Linked DNA regions of Schizosaccharomyces pombe. Changing the gene in region 1 together with any one later gene gives a genetic interaction. Each region holds a gene or a part of one and is shown on either strand. Other genes may lie near its edges.

The links.
Region 2: mutations in pmd1 (region 1) and cor1 impair growth when combined (synthetic growth defect), as found in Schizosaccharomyces pombe (one study listed by BioGRID).
Region 3: mutations in pmd1 (region 1) and bfr1 impair growth when combined (synthetic growth defect), as found in Schizosaccharomyces pombe (one study listed by BioGRID).

What each region holds. Positions count from the first base shown.
Region 1 is NC_003421.2:1,632,881-1,641,515, forward strand, and holds pmd1 (leptomycin transmembrane transporter Pmd1), read left to right. Parts: upstream 1-2,212; 5' UTR 2,213-2,419; exon of another isoform or gene 2,420-2,646; intron 2,647-2,831; exon of another isoform or gene 2,832-2,931; 5' UTR 2,932-3,093; coding exon 3,094-7,182; 3' UTR 7,183-7,691; downstream 7,692-8,635. Other genes in the region: wtf element Wtf15, read left to right, coding at 1-83, 289-546, 594-830, 870-926, 986-1,062; rpl39 (60S ribosomal protein L39), read left to right, coding at 8,141-8,296.
Region 2 is NC_003424.3:4,264,975-4,269,167, reverse strand, and holds cor1 (cornichon family protein), read right to left. Parts: upstream 2,114-4,193; 5' UTR 2,056-2,113; coding exon 1,935-2,055; intron 1,848-1,934; coding exon 1,564-1,847; 3' UTR 1,089-1,563; downstream 1-1,088. Other genes in the region: protein aim29, read left to right, coding at 3,069-3,446.
Region 3 is NC_003421.2:709,365-717,995, forward strand, and holds the start of bfr1 (plasma membrane brefeldin A efflux transporter Bfr1), read right to left. Parts: upstream 6,055-8,631; 5' UTR 4,644-6,054; coding exon 51-4,643; 3' UTR 1-50. UniProt on the Schizosaccharomyces pombe protein: Confers hyper-resistance to brefeldin A (BFA), an inhibitor of intracellular protein transport. Could serve as an efflux pump of various antibiotics.

The DNA.
Region 1 (8,635 bases):
GGCAGGACATGAAATTGACTTGGAAGGAAGCCCACCTTCAGAGCACAATTCGGAGGAGAAAAGCACATTGCCTTCAAATTCAGGTACGTTATGTTGTTAATATGAAAGAAAACATTATAGTAAAAACTGTATCTTGATGTTATTTAAAAATAACATGTTTGTGATTATTTGGTTACATTCGACTTACTCAAATTTTCGATTCTAAGCGCGGTGAGCTTTTTTTTTCTTTCAAATATAATATAAATTCCTGTTAATGTTTGAAGTTTCAGCATTTACTAATGCATTCAGATATTCTGACGTCCGCTAATCCTGTGTCTCAAGCTTCAGAAACTCCAGATCACAGCATCGAAAGTAATACAGGATCTACGCAATCGCCCACAAGCCATAGTCTACTTCTGAAGTTCTCTTTTTGTATTGTTTATTATTCTTATTTTGCAATTGTTGTGCTTGGTTGCGTGCTTCCTTTTGAGCACACACACACTTTCCTTATAGCTTTTTTGGTTATATTCGGTATAATCTCTGTGATATTGTTTAGCGGCTCAATTTGTAAGCAAATTGTGAGGATGTTATCAGTTCATTCACTAACTCTTCAGACTACTATGAAACTTGGACCAAGACTGTGAAGCACTTTTTGAAAAAAGTGATAAGCCCTTTCAAGAAGGAATACATTGTGTGTGCATTTTTAAAAACTTTTGTTTTCTATGGGCTTTTGAAAACGATTGAACATTTTTTAGTTCTTCTTTCTGGTGATAAATGGGGATGGAAATGCTCAACATTATCTAGCATTCTCACTCCTGTATCATGCATCTCTTTTTGCTTAAATGAATCAGGTTCGTTATTGTAATAATTTAGTTATATTAATAATACAGTACAACTCAGATCATGCAGCACTCATTTGTTCATAAATACCGTGGCATGGATTAAATGTATGTTCTATAAATAATGAGATATTTCTTGCAAAGAATTTTCTATTAACGATATTAAGCTCTTGGTGGCGGAAAAAATGCGTTTGAAAATAACTACAATCAATTGAATGAAACAAGTCCCGAAGACCTAGTTTAGTTTCATTATTGCTTGGTACTGTCAATAGTCGCGAAGCGCTTTTCTCAAAATCTCTTTTCACGAAATATTCAACGCAATGGAGTAACTTTGCAATCATAATGCTTTAATTTGGAAGTTTAAGTATGGTCGATCATTTGCCAACTTTTTGTACTGTATATTTTTATCTCGTTCTTTTGTTATCATTTAATTTGTTGACCAGTGTGTTACTTAAAAGCATTCTACAATGCTACTTGACATGTTTATATGGGATTTTGCATATCCATTATTGCAAGAATGCGTTGATGATGGTTACTATTCATGTCAACCCACGTTGATAAATTGCGATTCTTAGATTGACTATCAAATCAACTAGTGGAATTAGGAAACCTACTGCTCAGTCTGGTTGTATTCATAATTTCGTTTATATTTCTTTCATGATTATTTCTCAAAATTTAAACTCTTTTTTAATGAAACCAAATTCGTCAATGTCTACTTCTTTGTTAATTTGTTTTAGACCAATCTATGTTATTGTTTACTAAATAGCGAGCGACAAAAAAGCTCCTAGGTAATGTTATCTGATGCTAAGATAGTTAAGCTAAACCAGCATAATAGTAAAATACTCAATTGAAGTATAGCCCACTAATTGAACTGATGAATGTAGGCTCAACTGTGTTCTACTAAGTTTAGTATATGTTTATTTAAATTTTTTTCTCAGTTTGATCATTTCAGTTGATGAATATGAATTCTAGTTGGATAACCTCATTAATGGGAATTATATAATAATCAGTGATAGACAATTTTGCGTAATATAGAGATATAACGATATAAAAGTTTACAATGTTTTTACGCACTCATTACAGTTTTTACATTCGTTATACAATTGTTAAAATATAAACATAGAGATCACAATTTTAAGCACCGTAGTTTCAAGTAATTTGCTATCTTGGTTAAAAAATGCGCAACTGCACATTAGCGAATTCTATCTGTTTCTACGTCTGAATCCGCCTTTAATTGTGGCTTATGCCTCCACATGCTAAAACGCACTATTTGGCAATACGTGAAAGACAAATACTTCATTCTTAGTCATCTCATAAAAACTAACTCCTCGGAACCGAGGAGGGTAAACAAGCGCCGAGTGTGCATTTATATTGATTAGACAGGGATTTTTAGTTGTACTTTTCAAATCACTATACTCTTTTGCTTTTTCTTGAATTTTGTTTAGTCGCAGAAGACTGCGCTTGCTTATTAGAGTATTTAGCATTAAGAGGTATTAACTTAACTTCAATTCCCTATCAGGACGTGGAAGAAACGTTTTTACGCCTTTTGACAATTGTCAAAATTTGGGAAAACCCTACTGTGTTAATTGTATTGTAATTTGGTAAGTGTTGTGTGTGTGGATGGATTGAACAAGGAACGATGATGCGAATTGGCAAAATGGTAACATGGCAATATTATTATTGTCTCAGCTCTAATAGTCTGTCTTTACAAGTTGGATGAGAAGGAGAACGATTGAGATGCTGCTTGGCTTTTATGATTATAATGATTATTGTGATAGTTCATGGATGGGTAGGAATATTTTTTTCTTTGTTATTTTTAAGACACATATGCATCTGCAAGCATTCGAGTGAAATAATTTGTTGGCTGATTTTATCCTCACAAGGTTCAACGCTAAATTTTGTTGTACTGGATGCTATAGGCGTTGAAAGTTTCTTGCTTCAATGCTTTTTTTCACTGACCAGATTTTTCCAATTATTAAATAAAAATTTTAACTGGTACAATAATTACGACGATATTCGTTTTATCAATTCCATTCACGTTCTTCTCCCTTTTAGCCTTTTTTATCCATAATTGATGACTTGTTATTTGAACGACTTCTAACCCTTTTCTTAGTGTTACGATTTTAGTTTCCAATTATTTGGTTTAAATTATTTTTTTCATCTTCTACATCTCCGTTTGTTTAAACCTACCTATTTTTCTTAATTTCCATTTTCTACTCTCGATCCTCAAACTGGTTTTCTTAATTTGTTTTAATTTTATAGAATTTGCATAATCATGTCTTTGCATAGTAAAAAATCCACTTCTACGGTTAAGGATAACGAACATTCTTTGGACCTTTCTATCAAAAGCATACCTTCAAATGAAAAAAACTTTTCAACAGAGAAAAGCGAGAATGAGGCTTCTGAAAGCCACGTGGTAGATGTTGTCAAAGATCCTTTTGAACAGTATACTCCTGAAGAACAAGAAATCCTTTACAAACAAATTAATGACACACCTGCCAAACTTTCTGGATACCCTAGAATCCTTTCATACGCCGATAAATGGGATATTATGCTGCAATTGGCAGGCACCATTACTGGTATTGGTGCCGGCCTGGGTATGCCATTGATGTCCCTTGTATCCGGTCAGCTGGCTCAAGCTTTTACCGACCTTGCCTCTGGCAAAGGAGCGTCATCTTTCCAACACACTGTAGATCACTTTTGTCTTTATTTTATTTACATCGCAATTGGTGTCTTTGGCTGTTCATATATTTACACTGTAACCTTTATTATTGCAGGAGAGCGGATTGCCCGTCGTATTCGACAAGATTATTTGCATGCCATTCTTTCCCAAAATATCGGTTATTTCGATCGTCTAGGTGCCGGTGAAATTACCACTCGAATTACTACTGATACAAACTTTATTCAAGATGGTTTAGGTGAGAAGGTCGGATTGGTGTTCTTTGCAATAGCAACCTTTGTATCTGGTTTTGTTATCGCTTTTATTCGTCATTGGAAGTTCACATTGATATTGAGTTCAATGTTTCCAGCCATTTGTGGTGGTATCGGCTTGGGTGTTCCCTTTATTACCAAAAACACCAAAGGTCAAATCGCCGTCGTTGCCGAATCCAGTACATTTGTGGAAGAAGTGTTTTCCAATATCAGAAATGCTTTTGCTTTTGGTACCCAAGATATTCTTGCAAAATTGTACAATAAGTACTTAATAACTGCACAACGCTTCGGTATCAATAAGGCAATTGCAATGGGTTTAATGGTTGGATGGATGTTCTTTGTTGCGTATGGTGTTTACGGTCTTGCATTTTGGGAAGGTGGACGCCTCCTACATGCAGGTGATTTAGATGTTAGCAAATTAATTGGCTGCTTTTTCGCCGTCCTTATTGCTTCCTATAGTTTGGCCAACATTTCTCCTAAGATGCAGTCATTTGTTAGTTGTGCCTCAGCCGCTAAAAAGATTTTCGACACAATTGATCGTGTTAGTCCAATTAATGCTTTTACACCTACTGGTGATGTAGTCAAAGATATTAAAGGGGAGATCGAATTGAAAAATATTCGATTTGTTTATCCTACTCGTCCTGAAGTTTTAGTGCTGGATAACTTTTCTTTGGTATGCCCTTCTGGTAAAATTACTGCTTTAGTAGGTGCCAGTGGTAGCGGCAAATCCACGATCATTGGACTTGTTGAGCGATTTTACGACCCCATTGGTGGGCAGGTTTTCTTAGATGGTAAAGACCTTAGAACGCTGAACGTTGCTTCGCTGAGAAATCAAATATCTTTGGTACAACAAGAACCGGTTCTGTTTGCTACAACTGTGTTTGAAAATATAACTTATGGCCTGCCTGATACAATTAAAGGTACCTTGTCTAAGGAAGAATTGGAAAGAAGAGTTTATGATGCCGCTAAGCTTGCCAACGCTTACGACTTTATTATGACATTACCCGAGCAATTTTCAACTAATGTTGGACAACGCGGTTTCCTTATGTCAGGAGGACAAAAACAAAGAATTGCAATCGCTAGGGCCGTTATTAGTGATCCCAAGATCTTATTGTTGGACGAAGCCACAAGTGCTTTAGACTCTAAGAGTGAAGTGCTTGTTCAGAAAGCTCTAGATAATGCATCGAGATCTCGTACCACTATCGTTATTGCTCATCGTCTTTCTACAATTCGTAACGCTGATAATATTGTCGTAGTGAATGCAGGAAAAATTGTTGAACAGGGCTCCCACAATGAATTGTTAGATCTGAATGGTGCTTATGCTAGACTAGTAGAAGCTCAAAAGCTATCAGGTGGAGAAAAAGACCAGGAAATGGTCGAGGAAGAACTGGAGGATGCTCCGAGGGAAATACCCATAACGTCTTTTGGTGACGATGATGAAGATAATGATATGGCTAGCCTCGAGGCCCCTATGATGTCCCATAATACGGATACTGATACGTTGAATAATAAACTCAACGAGAAAGATAATGTCGTGTTTGAAGACAAAACCCTTCAGCATGTAGCTTCCGAAATTGTTCCAAACCTACCTCCTGCAGATGTCGGTGAACTTAATGAGGAGCCTAAAAAGTCCAAAAAGTCAAAGAAAAACAACCATGAGATTAATTCGTTAACAGCGTTATGGTTCATTCATTCTTTTGTACGGACAATGATAGAGATTATTTGTCTATTAATTGGTATTTTGGCTTCTATGATTTGTGGTGCAGCTTACCCTGTTCAGGCAGCTGTTTTTGCAAGATTTCTCAATATCTTCACTGATCTCTCATCCACAGACTTTTTACACAAAGTAAACGTGTTTGCTGTTTATTGGCTTATTCTAGCTATTGTTCAATTCTTCGCTTATGCAATTTCCAATTTTGCAATGACTTATGCAATGGAAGCAGTTTTGCAAAGAATTCGTTATCATCTATTTCGAACATTGCTTCGTCAAGATGTTGAGTTTTTCGACCGTAGTGAGAACACAGTTGGTGCTATTACTACTTCTTTATCAACGAAAATTCAGTCTTTGGAGGGATTGAGCGGCCCGACTTTAGGAACCTTTTTCCAAATTTTGACCAATATCATTTCAGTTACGATTTTATCTTTGGCTACAGGATGGAAGTTGGGTTTGGTGACCCTTTCGACCTCCCCTGTTATCATTACTGCTGGTTATTACCGTGTACGTGCTCTTGATCAAGTCCAAGAGAAGTTGTCTGCTGCCTACAAAGAGTCAGCTGCGTTCGCATGCGAGTCAACTTCAGCCATTCGTACAGTCGCTAGTCTTAATCGCGAAGAAAACGTTTTTGCTGAGTATTGTGATTCTCTCATCAAACCTGGCCGTGAGTCGGCAATCGCATCATTGAAATCTGGTTTATTCTTTTCTGCTGCTCAAGGTGTTACCTTTTTGATTAACGCATTGACATTTTGGTATGGTTCTACCTTAATGCGCAAGGGCGAATATAACATCGTTCAGTTTTATACTTGTTTTATTGCAATTGTCTTTGGTATACAACAAGCTGGTCAATTCTTTGGTTACTCAGCAGATGTAACAAAAGCAAAGGCTGCTGCCGGTGAAATTAAGTATTTGTCCGAATCAAAACCTAAAATTGATACATGGTCGACGGAAGGAAAGAAAGTTGAATCCCTTCAAAGTGCAGCAATTGAATTCAGGCAAGTTGAATTTAGTTACCCTACCAGAAGGCATATTAAAGTTCTTCGTGGTTTGAACCTCACTGTGAAGCCCGGGCAGTTTGTCGCATTCGTAGGATCTTCTGGCTGTGGTAAATCTACGACCATTGGGCTTATCGAGCGTTTCTACGATTGCGACAATGGAGCTGTATTGGTGGACGGTGTTAATGTTCGTGACTATAACATTAACGACTACCGCAAACAAATTGCCCTTGTCTCTCAAGAGCCAACGTTGTACCAAGGTACTGTTCGTGAGAACATTGTTTTGGGCGCATCTAAAGATGTCTCTGAAGAAGAGATGATTGAAGCTTGCAAGAAGGCCAATATTCATGAGTTTATTCTTGGATTGCCCAACGGTTATAACACACTTTGCGGTCAAAAGGGCTCTTCCTTATCTGGTGGTCAAAAACAGCGTATTGCCATTGCTAGAGCATTAATTAGAAATCCAAAGATTCTCCTTTTAGATGAAGCAACCAGTGCTTTAGACAGTCATAGCGAAAAGGTCGTTCAAGAAGCTTTAAATGCCGCCTCTCAAGGTAGAACCACGGTAGCAATTGCTCATCGTTTGTCTTCTATCCAAGATGCAGACTGTATTTTCGTATTTGATGGTGGTGTTATCGCTGAAGCTGGTACTCATGCCGAGCTTGTTAAACAGCGCGGTCGTTACTATGAACTTGTGGTTGAACAGGGATTGAACAAAGCATAATTTATTTGAAAAGGGTGATACCCGACAAGAGCCCTTTTTTTGTCTTTCTGATCAGTAAAAGGGTTTCCATTGTTTAGATTAACTCCCTCATATATCGTTAAGTTATTTCCGAATTTCCTTTATTTAGGTCATGTATACTATTATGCGATGAAGCATGACCAATGCTATTAAATTACTTAATATTTCCTTATTTTGAAAATGGATGTTTGTCGTTTGTCTTCTAGATATGTCTTCATCCATAGTCAGGTTTGTGTTTTATTCCAAAAACTTGTCAATTTCAAGGATTGAATAACAAGGTTACTTTTTAGGCATTATGGCCTTACTAGCAATGTAAGGAATTTTAATGTCTGTGCTATTTAATGTTGTTTGGTCAACTGATTAATTTAATTTGCTAACGTGCAAATAATTGTCTATTTTATCGTAATCGGTACGATGGCATTTTACTCTTACCATTAACTTTGATTCATAATGAATAATGGATTCGTTTTTTGTTTTTTTATTGACCCTCATAAGTACGGATTTCGTAGTTTTTCAAATTGTAAATAGTAGTAACAAAATAGAAGTTTTTTGACTTGGGAACTTCTTTGTACCTCAATGCTTAAAATATGAGCTTCTAGCCCAAATGTAAAATTAATAGCAAGTTTACTTTGATATGATTGAACCAAATATTACTTACTAACACTACTTTCTTGAATGCGTCTGCCTTTTTCTAACAACAAGCTTTTGGACTAACTGAAATATATTTAATTATTTCTTCAGTATCTCAATTCTAGTTTAAATAACGCTCTGACGGCATATTTCACAAAACAGTTTTAACGGTTACTAGCAATATGTACCATAGTATGTTGAAATTATTCCTTAAATCCTACAAAAACCTTCAAAAGACAGTCACAGTTGTGAAAAAAGAGCAGTCACATTCGCTTTAGTTGCGTGGATGCAACACTCTGTCTTCCACAAAATGCCTTCTCACAAGAGTTTCCGTACCAAGCAAAAGCTTGCCAAGGCTGCGCGTCAAAACCGCCCCATTCCTCAATGGATTCGTCTTCGCACCGGAAACACTGTTCATTATAACATGAAGAGAAGACACTGGAGACGTACCAAGTTGAACATCTAAAATGGTATGTCGACAAAATCAACCGACGCCTTTGCTTGTGGAGTAACTGTTTTCTAACTGAGATAGCGTTCGTGTACATGAAGTTATGGATTGCTTTATGCGTATCCTACGTTTTACGTGTGCAAAAATAGAAAATGGATCCATTCTGTTTGAGCGAAAAATTTCTATATAAACGCAATGTATCTGTTGTCTTCAATAACTATGTAAACAGTTCCATGCAAGTCGTAAGGATTGTCGTGTAATATAGTAGAGTTGAATGATCTGTAAATAAAACGATTTTAAGTGTACTTTAATTTTCTAGTAGTTGGTGGCGGCGCGGCCTGACCTGGTAGGAAAAAC
Region 2 (4,193 bases), on another chromosome or scaffold:
AATGGATATTAAGTAGGCAAGATAAGTAATCATTAAATTTGAGCATTAACTAAATGAGCCTGAGGAAATGATGAAATTGTATTTAAAGGGATTACTAAGTCTTTTTCGCTAACCTAACAACTATATGGTAAGAGTAAGAACAACATTAGCATGTGAACAACTACGATTAGCCAAATCATTATCTTAACAATTTCAAAAACAGTAAGGCTTCTCAAACAATGTTGTATTGCTCAATCATGAAAAAAAGAAGAAACGACCGTTGTGTTTATACTTCCATGCACATCCTGCGAAGGTGAATCCCATCGCTATCGCACTGCCCAAGACCCGGTAGTGATGTGCATTGTTTCCAACCTCCATCGGTACTACACGGTTTAACTGCCAGTTGCCACGAAGACTACTCTTCGAACAGACGTGGCAGATCGAGGGATCGAAAGCGAGACTCGAACCCGAGACCACCGAACATGCACTATTGGGAGTACTAAACACTTCGACCAAGCCATTACAGCGAATACATATATGTATTAATAAATTATATAGAAAATAAATAAGTTAATTCGCATAAACAAAAGTTTCAACTTTTCATTGCAAACCCTTTAAAGCTTTTCATCGCGTGCACGCATATTATAAAAAAATATGATCTTATTTCTTTGTAAATAATAAAAATTCTCTCAGCTTTTATATAGTTGCGAAGAAGCATTTACTATTGCACAAATAGCCTTTCAAAATTCGAGTTGCCATGGTGTGAAAAACATGACCAACAGAGATTTTTGTATTAAGTTCATTGCTTATCCCTCTACCTTTCTTCAGAAATAACATTCACTCACATTCTGATAGTGCAAACAACCAACATTATAACTCAATGAATTAAACGAAATATAATAAGCTAAGCAACACGTAGTCAATTAAAAAAAATAAAAAAGTGCTATGAATGAAATCCTTTATTTTACAAACCTCTAAATGATGCTAAAGAAAAGCAATGACAAAAGTCAGAGCTACAGCCTCTCAAAGGTGAACACGTGGAGAACAAAATAAAACTACACTATTGCAGAAAACGACGGTATCACATCCAACTTACATTACAACATATCATAGGCAAACACTATAAGTACAAATATGACCTCGTGTGGTTTTATTTGCACATTAAACTCACTATTCCCTAGCTCGGCAGCAATTAAAGATTTTATTCATAGCAACAGGTCAGATGCTGCAAGTAGGAGTTGCATAGGAAATTGAAGGCGAAAGACTCTCTAGGAGTGAAAACATAAACCCCGTTAAACGAGATCCCACGAGTAGAAAGAAATGGGATTGACGAACAATTAACAAGAGATAAAAACAAGTATTGAAGTAGCTACACAATATACATTGCCAAGACAAATGCACTAGCTAAAAGCGAAACTTTTTGCATCTGGATGGCTTTAAATAGTTTTGACCAAGACGAAAAACATTTAGGAAAAGAAAACAAAACTTTTGAGTAGCAACGCAAAAATTGCTTTAAAACTATTGACTTTGAAACTGATCACTAAAAGAGGAGGGAAAATAAATCACACAAACTTAACGATACAATTACTCGTCCACAAGTCTACTGACGAAGAGGAAGAGGTATACGAAGAAAAATACAGCAAAACATGCCAGCTTGAAAAAGGATCGTTTTTGTCTAGAGGATACGTCTTTGAAGATGGTTGTAGAGTCGTGCATATGAGTGTTGGACATAATCATTTTGGCGTTCCAAGCCAACATGGGTACATTGAGAAGGAAGGTGATCCAAGCACCTGACAATAATAGAAGAAGGGCACTGAAAGCTTGAAAACCCATTTCTGGTAGTACATACCAGTTCAGTTTTCGAGACACTAAATAGGGAAAAAGATTAGTATATATACGAATCAGAGACATTTATCATTAATATATATCGTTAGAATGTGATTATTTTAACATACAATCAATGGGATTTATGAAATCGTCTTTCAAATCAGAGTACATCACTGTAAAGTACATCTGAAGCATGATATTTGCACATGTAAGCATAAGGCTGGTAAAATAAATCCAAGCAGACACCATTTTGGATGTTTAGACACTTATTTTGAGTTTTCAAACTTTTCTTTTCGATGGGTGTAATAAGATAACTTGTCACAACTCATTGATGGTAAAATGAGCGAACGAATCGTAACGACCACAAGTTCGAATCGCACTGTTGACATGAATCTTTACCAAATGGTAAGGGAACTCGAAAAATCTGGAAGTTTGGTTTTTATGTTTACTAATCAATTAGTACGTTAGTATATTTTTTATTTTTTATTTTAAAGAATGGGCTTCGATTGAATGATCGTAAAAAAAAGTGAATTCAAGAGTTCTATGCTAATATAAATCAAAGAGACGCATGCATGGACTATGAAACGTAAACACTTCAAGTAGAAGTAATCATTGTGTTATATTCTTTAGCTTTAAAACCGCTTTAGTTAATAAAATATATAGTCTGGGTTGAAAACATTTACAATTATTCACACTGTATAGAATTAAATAATTTTACGATAATTCGATCCTTAAATATCATCATCAACTTGTTCCTCTTAGTTGTAGAAACAATTCTTATGCGTTTTTTTCGTAAACAGTCGTCAAATATTAAACTATTTTTGTTTTGCAATAATTCAGCCAACATTCAATTGGCTTCTACAATGAACATTCATTCTTAAATTAAAATTTTCTAGAAGAATAGTATGAAGGTTTTTAGCTGTTAGGATACACAATTCAATTTGTTATATTGCTAGTGTACCACTTAGTGCACATCTCAATCATTTATAATGCTTCGTTCTTTCTCTATACTACACAAGTTACCATTGACTCGAGTGTTAATCAAATTGCAATTGTATATACGAAAAATATAAGCATAAAGGTGAGGCTCTGGAGAAACAAAAAGCTATTGTGACATTTTTTTGGAATACAAATAATTTTGAAAGTTTTTGGGAATTTCGCAAGGATTTCGAACCCTTATATAAGAATCGAATTACAGTCATTTAACTATTGATCATTTGGTACTTTTTTACTCTTTGGTTTTATTTAAATCTTTCAAAAGGATGACGGGCGCAACGTTAACTGTTCGAGTAATTCGCAACTTTGAATATCGGACACTGAAAAACGTCGTTTTCCACGACATAGATCTGGCCACTACGACTGTAGACCAGTTCAAAAAAATCATCGATGAACGCATACAAACGGATCCCTCATTGAAAATCTACCGTACTACCCATTTTGACACGTTGAAGATTTATGTGAAAGCCCAGCAGCACAAAACCCAAAACTTGGCTATTAATTTAGACCACGATGATTGGATTCTTAATGATGGAGCCAAAACATTGTCTCTTTGTGGAATTGAAAATGAAACTGAGTTGTCCTACTTTGAACTTGCTGCCTACAAGGCCTATCAAGCAAATCCTGTACAAAAATGGCTTTAGACATGCATAACTTTATTAAGAGTTCAATTGTTGGTGTTAGGAATAGGAGATGAGTTTACCTTTGTTATTTAAATTGAATATTTTTCAAACTACGCTAAAAAATTCCTGATGTCTTTATTAGTGCAACTATTTAAAATTACCTAGGTCGCTGTTGCAATTCATGTATTGACAATAGCAGAATGCATTGTAGTGAGCAAAAGTATGTAGAATAATAAATGATACAAAACAATACGCATTTTAAACCAAATGTTGTAAACATCGACTTTATGACTTGGTACCAATAGCACCAAGGACGTCCCTATCTACATATTTATATAAGAACAAAACATTTCTCATTCATCAAAACGCTACACCAATACTTAATAAAAAGTTATTTTAAAAACAAGCAAAAAAAGAGTTGCGCGGCCAGGTTTCGATCCTGGGACCTACGGGTTATGAGCCCGTCGGAGTTCCACTCTCCTACCGCGCACAAATACCGTCACCAGCAGGATTTGAACCTGCGCGGGCAAAGCCCATTAGATGACTAGAATACAGGATTCAAGTCTAACTCCTTAACCACTCGGACATAGTGACTTTAGCTGTACATTTATCATGAAATGTAATTTATATAGCCAAAATCAAAAATTTCTATGTAATTTTTGATAGGAAGTTTCCAATGCTCAAATGGTTGATTTCACAAAAGCATTGCTTTATGTTAAGAAAATATTGTTTTTGGTGTTAGAATATATTTTTTTTATTATCAAAGTA
Region 3 (8,631 bases), 920 kb from region 1:
AAAAAAGACCATAAAACTTAAAAACATCAAAACACCCCATATTAATACATTTAACCAGTTCCGGTAATCTTTTTACCAAGCCAAGTACTTCTAAGCTTCATGACTCGGAATACGTAAAACAACAAAAGCACCGCAAAGATATTGAAGAACACATAACCAACAAAGATACCCAAATTTCTCCAGCGATGAGTATAACGCATACTAAACCGCTCCAAAAACTGGTCAGCGGTTTGATATGGACAGTAACTGCATGAGGTTGTAGCATTAGGATTTAAGAGGTTTCCAGCAGCTGTGTTATTAGTTAAGAAAGCACTCATATATTCACCGCATGTTTGACCGCTAGGAGGGTTGATAGTAAGCATCTCATGAGACTTGCATTCAACTGGAAGTCCATGCACCAAATCAGAAAGTAATCCTTCGATCAAATAGGTAAACGGAGTCAACGAATGCATCCAATGCCAAAATCCGACCAAATTACTATTAGGCTGCAGAACACCGTTAAATGTAATCACGAATGTGAATAACAAACTGTTGACAACGGACGCTGTTTGAGCATTAGGGCACGCACTGGCGACAGCTTGGCCAAAAGTTGAGAAGTACATTTGGAAGAACATATAAAGCAACCAAGCGTAACCAGTTTTGTCACCAGGATGATGAATATGCTTATAAAACTTGATTGGATAAAACCAACAAAGGAAGAAAAGCGTGCCAAACACCAGGTTAAATGGAATTTCTACTATAATGGCTGAAAATACGAATGCAACCCAACTGTAAATATTCGAAGGCTTTTCTCTAACTTCAAAGACGTTACGCAACTCAATAAATTTTGGTTGAAGACCATTAATCAAAGGAACTGCAAGAACGGTTGCCATAAACACAGCGAAAAGCTTGTTCTGAATATTCTGTACACCGAGACCTTGATTATAAAATGTAAATCCAATAAATAAACCAGCGAAAATATCCAGTGCTAATTTAGACATCAATATAGAGGGCTCTCTCCAATAAGACTGGAAATTTCTGGTCATGACCATTTTGACTTGGAACCACAGAGGCATGGCGTAAGTGCTCCTATCTTCCTTTGACAAAGTCTTTTTATCCTCACTGTTTGAGAATGAAGCGTTAATTTTGTCTAGCTCTGCACTAATGGCTTTACGTTCTTCTGAGTTATTCCAAACTTCATGCCAATCACGATTAGTAGTGGCAGTGGCACCAGCACCAATAACATCTAAAATGTATTCAGCTGGATTACCGTCGTCAGGACAATGTACTGCTCCATGAGATTCAAAGTAATTTAACAAAGTCTTAGAATGTTCTCCTATATCACCAAAGTACACTGTTTTACCACCTTTCTGTAGCAGTAACAATCTATCAAATTGATCAAACAGTACGGCACTGGGTTGATGGATTGTACAAAGAATTGCTTGACCAGCATCAGCTAATTTTCGCAAGAAACAAACAATGGACCATGCAGACTGACTATCTAGACCAGAAGTTGGCTCGTCTAAAAACAACAATAAAGCAGGCTTCGCAGCCAACTCGACACCAATGGTTGCACGCTTACGTTGTTCTACGTTCAATCCGGAGCCAGGAGTACCGATAATTGCTTCAGCATAGCTCTCCATTTCCAAAAGTTTAATGACTGATTCGACATATTCGTACTTTTCCGAAAGAGGAACGGAAGCAGGTTGACGTAGAGCAGCACTGAAACGCAACGCTTCTCTAACCGTAGATTCACCAATGTGGACATCCTGCTGTTGTACATAACCAGTGCGCCGTTGGAAAGTTGAATCCAATCCTCTACCATTAACCAACATGTCGCCAGTTACTACACCAGTGTCAACACGTTGAGCAAGTACATTTAGTAAAGTGGTTTTACCAGCACCGGATTCACCCATCAAAGCCGTCAATTTACCTGGAACAACAAAGCCTTGCACACCATTAAGTAACCGGCGATGCTCACCTTTTATTTGAATGTCGTAGTTAAGATTTCTCCAGCTGAAAATGTCATGGCCTTTTTCAATTCCTTCATATTCCTTGTTAAGCTCTTCTTCGTTGTCCGGAGACTCTTTAACAACGTCACCACCTTGAGTATCTTGACCAGTTTCTAAATCCAGCGGTTTTCCACCTTCATTGACAGCTGCTTTTACAGCGTCAGGAGCATGGCCGCGGCGAAAGACCAGATATTCACCTTTCAAATCGTTGAAATTAAGAGTTTCACTGGCGACGATGTTGACAAATACCAAGAACGCATAATATCCAATAATAATAGCCAAATTTCTCCATAATTGACGCGTCTTGTAGTTGAAACTAATATACAAGTAAGTTGAGCCGTCAACGTAATCTGTTCCAGGTTCTGCAGAGGTGACGGGACAGATTTTGTTAGCTACAGGATAATTGTCATATCCACTACCGTACGGAATCAATTGAGAGCATTCGAACTGTCGTGCCTTGAATTCATTAATCATTAAAGACTCAAAACCAAATTGCAACGGGTCGAGATAAGCAATCCAGCGGAACCACCATCCAACGTCGATATTAGGAATAGCATAACCAGTGTAAATGGCAATTGCAAGCACACCGATACCACCCAAAGCAGATGCAGATTCAACATTGGGCATAATTCCAGCTAATGATCGAAAAAAGGCAGACATACAAGTAGCACCTATGAAAAGGAACAAAAAGTAAGTCCAAAATCCGCCAGCAGTCCTCTTTAAATTTGTTAAAAAATACAACACAATTGAGAAAACCGAAATATTAATGAATCTGAAAGGTAGATCGACAATCAAGCTACTAATAACATCTGCAGCAGGATGGTACAAAGCAGAAGCTCTATGCTTAGCAATGATGGGTCGTTGGGAAAACATATTAGCGATTTCAGAAAGACTCTGAAGTGCGCAAAACAGAATAGAGAAGAAAAGAACACCACCACGTGAGAATACATCAACGGTGTTTAATTTCATATCGTAGAAAATAGAACCGATAATAAGAGATTGGAAAAGGAAAGCAAAAGCCATTGAACCAATATATGCAGGATCATTGATATATCTCTCCCATGACCTAGCTAAACAATACCACAACTGTTGACTAAAAGTCACAGTATACGGAGAGGTATCCTTAACACGTTTACTCTTTTCCGCTACCGCACTTTGACGATAGAGCTCATGCTTGGTAGTGGCAGAGATATCGCTTCCAAAGTTGTCTTTTTCGGGGGCTTCAGAAGAAGCAGGAGTAGTCTCGGTCCACCGTTTGTCATAGCTTTCCATTTCGGCCATAAGGTCAGCATATACAGAACTATTGCGCCACATTTGTTCAAACTCATCAGGGGTTCTGGGAACGCGATTTTCGAAACCCTTTCTAGGAAACCTAGCCTTCGGGTCAGAAATAGCAGTGAGGAAGTCAGGAGTTGTTTCACGAGGATGACAGTCAAACCCCATATCTAAGAAGTATTGCTTGGCTTTGTCAGCTGGTCCATAATAAATTTGCCTACCGGCATAAAGTACACAAATTCGATCGAAAAGTTTGTAAATCTTTTCCGAAGCTTGGTATGCAGTAACGAAGGATGTCATTTTAAGTTCATTGGCACAAGTGCGAAGGACATTGACGAACTCGAAAGCCGTACTAGAGTCCAAACCACGAGTACTATTATCCCAGCAAGCGATAGTTGGACGAGTAGCAAAACCTTCACTAATAGTTACACGCTTACGTTCACCACCAGAGACACCACGTACGAAATCATTACCTACCTTGGTATTGAAAGTGTGTGTCAAGCCAAATGCGGTAGCAATTAAATGCCTCTCACGACTCACATATTCTTGACGGGTGAGGTTGCAAGGACGGTTGTTTGGGGTACGGCATTTAGCCGCAAAATCAAGGGTTTCAGCGGTAGTCAAAGATGGGAAATGGACATCGTTTTCACCACTGTATAAAAGATCACCGGGGAAAAACTTTTTCATGTCGGCCTTGTCAATACCGTCATAATGAGTGGTTCCCTCGACACGCTTGTAGTGAACAGTATCGCTAGTAACTGAACGCAAGAAAGTGGAACATCCAGAACCTGGTTGTCCCAAAACCATCACCAGTTCACCAGCATTGGCAAGAGCATGACAATGACTTAAAATGGCTTTTTCCACCACTTGTTTTTCAGTGATAGCTCGATAAGGTTGTAAAAAAATATCAGGAAATGTTTTCAAAAATTCATATCCAGAACCAACGCCATAAACACTATGGTCGCGCATGCAGACACCACTACTACGAGTGATGATATCGTCTCGTTGTAAAGAATCTTTGTATGCTCTTAAATAATGCTTCAAGTTGAAGTTTTCCCCTAGTTCAAAGGGATCACCGGCCAAACGGTCGACCGATGAATCATCAGATGAGGAAGAATCCGAATTCGATGAGGATTCTGGGGAGGGTTCGTTTGATGAAGATGGGACGTAACTTTGATTACCTTTTGAACGGTATTCCTCATTAGTGTGTGATGCCTTCTCATTGGATGAAGGATTAGAAGAATCTAAAGACTCGTCAACATTCGAAGAAGAATCCTCGAAATGATCAGAGGAATTAGAAATACGCGTAACCTCGGTGGTATGATTTAAAGTACTGCCTAAGGCCTGACCGTGAGTAGTATCCGAATTTTGATTCATTTCGTAATGTAAAAAGGAATATAAAAGGGAAACAAATCAAAATAGAACAGGATAGGAAAAAAGAAAGTAGAAAAAACCGGAAATGATGTTTTATATTAGTAATTGAACGATTCAAAAGAAAAAATTTTGAAAACACCACGATACAATTGAAACAAGTTGAACTCTATAAATCGAGCTGAAAAAAAAAAGCAGATCGACGTCCAACGATTTAAAAAAAACGAGAAATGAAAAGTTTAATAAAATAAACGACAAAATTACCAAAACGTAAGAAGAATTAGAACGCTATTTCACAAGACAGTAAACTTCAAGTTGTGAAAATAATAAGAAAAACGCAAACGAAAGTACGTGAATTGAACGAAAACGCTAGGGAAAACGACCAACAACAAGTTTAAAAAAAAAGCGAAAGCGAATCGCAACCAGAAAGACTTTCAAACAAAATTAGTGAGTGATGATGAAGTAAGCAACCGAGCTCACTGTACACTGAAGAGAAAAGTTTTATTGTTTAACAAGTGGGTGAAGAAAATAATTTAAAATTAGGAGAGGAACGAATGGGGAATCGAACAGTACTTTTTAAGCTTGGCTTAAAAAGCAGTAAGATTACTAAAGGAAGAAGATAAAAAAATGAAGGATCTCCTTTGGAAAGTTCAAATAGATACTATAACAAATATAGATAAATAGATATGTATACGGTTGTATGTATAAAAAATATTTATCTATCTATATATATTTTATAATATATAGAAAGAAGGCTTCTTTTTTATTAGAGTGAATTTTCCCAAACGCAATAGGGGAAAAAAAATTTCGTTCTTGTCTGCCTGTGAGATTGCTCGTAATACGAATCGCCAATTCGTGTTGATTCAGACTCCTACTGAAAAAGTGAAAGACGACTGGTCAATAATACGAGTAAATGAAAGTTTTATAATAGGAGCAGGGATGAAAACCTAGCACCACAGGTATGCTTATGACAAGAAGGGAAGAGAAGGGGCAAATAGGAAGAAGAAAGAAGCAACGCCAATTTTTTAGAAGAGGAACTAGTTTCAAAGATAAGAAAAGCAAAATTTCCTGAAAAACAATGGCTTTTTGCAGGCCACGTTTCAAAAGAAGAAAGAGAATCCAATAAGTTTCCGCAAGAGGAAAGAAATGTATCTAGAAGACAGGTAGGAAGAGGGAAATGGAAATGCAAGGGAAACGGGAGAAAAGGTAAGAAAGCTAAAGCTTCCTGAACTCCAACAAAAGCTTGAAAACCAAACAAAAAGGAACTAAATCGAGATAACGGTCTCTACGAACTCAATAAAAACGACGTTTCGTTGCGCTTCAAAGGATAAACCAGAAAGCAAGTTGGTTATCGAGAAAGTAGGGAGCAATTTCTTCGTTCTTTAATATGAACTGCCAAACGCTAGGAAGATGATGTGAAAAAAATGGTGGCCGCTGACTCGCTTTAGTAAACAATTTCGTTCGGCGCTTTGACTCTCCGGAGTGATGTCATAGAAAAGCGATCGACTAAACACCGAGGAGCAAGCAAGCGATAAATTTGCCTTGTATAATAGTATGACTAAGACAACTCGATAATAAGAGACGCAACAAGAAAGAGAGGGTTTAGAGACGAAATGAGATGAAAAACCGATAAAAATGAGTGTAATATGAGAGAAAGAACAAAAAAAATTTCAATGAATTAAAAGCGAGATTCTCTTGAATCAAAAAGATTGAGAAAAGAGTCCAAAATCCCTTTTATAAAGTGTTTAACCTCAGAAAAAGCCCAAATTTTCTCGAAATTTCCCCCGACTTTAGCATAGTTTTTATTATTTTACAAAGTTCTTTTGTTTGTTCATAATTTCAGAGATTGTTTTGCAAACCAACAAAGACCCGAATCGTCCATCTGGTACGAGCGCTCATCTTTATCTTTCTTTTGTTTACATGTCAAAGGGAAATACAAAAGTGAGTGAAAAGTTTCTCTATTTTCATTCAAACTTCCTACTTCTTGGTCTATTTTTTATTCAAATGACTTGATGAATTTGAATATTGGTTTAAAACCTGACAAATCCTACCTTTTTTCCATTTAACTACGCGTTCAACGTTTCCTCTCCTGCGCTACTTTTAGCTATAGACACTTGCTCTCTCACTCTCTCAGTAATGTAAATTTAACGACAAATAGCGTTTTCGTAAACCTCTTTAGTAGCGTTTCCTAGCAGCGAAGCACTCAAACATAGTCGGGATCGTCCAAGTTCCGAAATTACCGCTGCGCGGTCAACTACAGCATTTGCTGTTATCACGATACAGCGATACGCAAGAGGCTAATTTCTAAATTCCGATGCCCGATGTCCGAGCACCTCGCGTTTGAGAAGTGTCGCACATTTGGCATCAAATGCAGCTCTTGCAGATCTGATTAGTAAGAAATGAGTAAGCGCAAAGAATAACGAGGAAAAGAGAATGTGTTGAATGGAATAATGAGGAATAAAGGAGTGCGATCGGGAAGATTACGAAGGAGAGTAGATATACTCAAATTTGCAAGGATAAAGGATAAGGATTACGAATAGAGATGATTACTGAAGAATTTGTGAGCAATTGTTTTTTTTTTAATTTATCTGATTAAATTGGAATGGATGTCCAGTATAGAATATGTTCATGCACTCTCTCTGCACTTTGCAAGATGAATTGCATTGTAACGATCGAGTGCGCTATGTAATATTACGCTGCGCTACTGTTTTATTCCCATAAAGACTTGAAAAGGTAAATAGCCAAACTGACTTTAAAGTTGGTTTTGACTTTTTCTCCTTTCTAGCATAAATACTGCTGCACATTGGATCAGTTGTTAGTAAGTAGAAGATTGAGTAGCTAGAAATTGTAGAGAGCGAAATATTCTCTTGACCGATTACATTCCCACTGTCTCCCGTTTTTGTTTTGCCTACTTTGTACTGCGTCTTCATCGTTTGTCCGACTGTGTGTGGGCGCCATGTTTCTAGCTAGTGTGCCCAGTACGAGAAGTTTCTATTACTGAGCGCATGTCGAAATTACTGGGCAAATTTGACACTTTGAGAGCAGCTCGATCGCATCGCTCTCAAAGTACTAAAAAATTGTCCGTTTCGATGCTGCGAAAAGTTGGACATCATAGTGCGAAGACCATCGTAAACTTGCCTATCATGTGTTAATAACATGGTCCAACATGTTGATGAAGCAATCCTACCAAATCGGCTACAAATACTATGGCACGAAATACGTGAATGCAATATGGCTCATCTCTTTACCTCTCTCTATAGGTAAATATGTAAATACTTAAGGCAAATTAAATTCTTTTTTCATCCACTTAAGCATTTTAACGTGTCATTTCGCACTGCTTTGTATTTTATTAATATTTTATTAAACAAAATGCGATAACTAGCGTAATTTGGAATAAAAAAACACCCATTCACCTCGTAGCATACACTTCGCTCGTGAACGCTATTTTCCACTTCCACTATCTCGTCTAGCGTGAATGCGGGCATAGCGATGCAGCGACACATTGCAGTATTTCACAATTACAAAAGTGTCGATCTTTTTGTTGTTGCGCTAAATAGTGTGCTACTAAACATTTTGATACATTCTATAAACTCGCCAGCGTTTATTCCATTTAGTGTCTTTCTCGTATTTTGAATTCATGTGTATGTGCTAGTAACTAAAATTTCTTCTCATCCAATTTTTTTTTTTTTTTTTTTTTATTTAAATTCTCTTCCAACCAACTTCTACTCGTTCATTTTTCTATTGACATTTGTGTTTAACTCATACCTCGTAATAATCACGTTTACCAATTCGACGACCCTCAGCAATTGACTCTCTGAGCCACATGAAATCATTTTCTTATTTTTTTTTCTAACTTTTTTGAAACTCCTCAGCACGTTCCCACAACTTTTTAGCAGTGTCAACAAAGCATTCCTCATCGGAGCGATACTTCAATCCAATCGACCTTGAGTAAGAACCATCCAATACCATGAATCCAGGATTGATAGACGCTTTT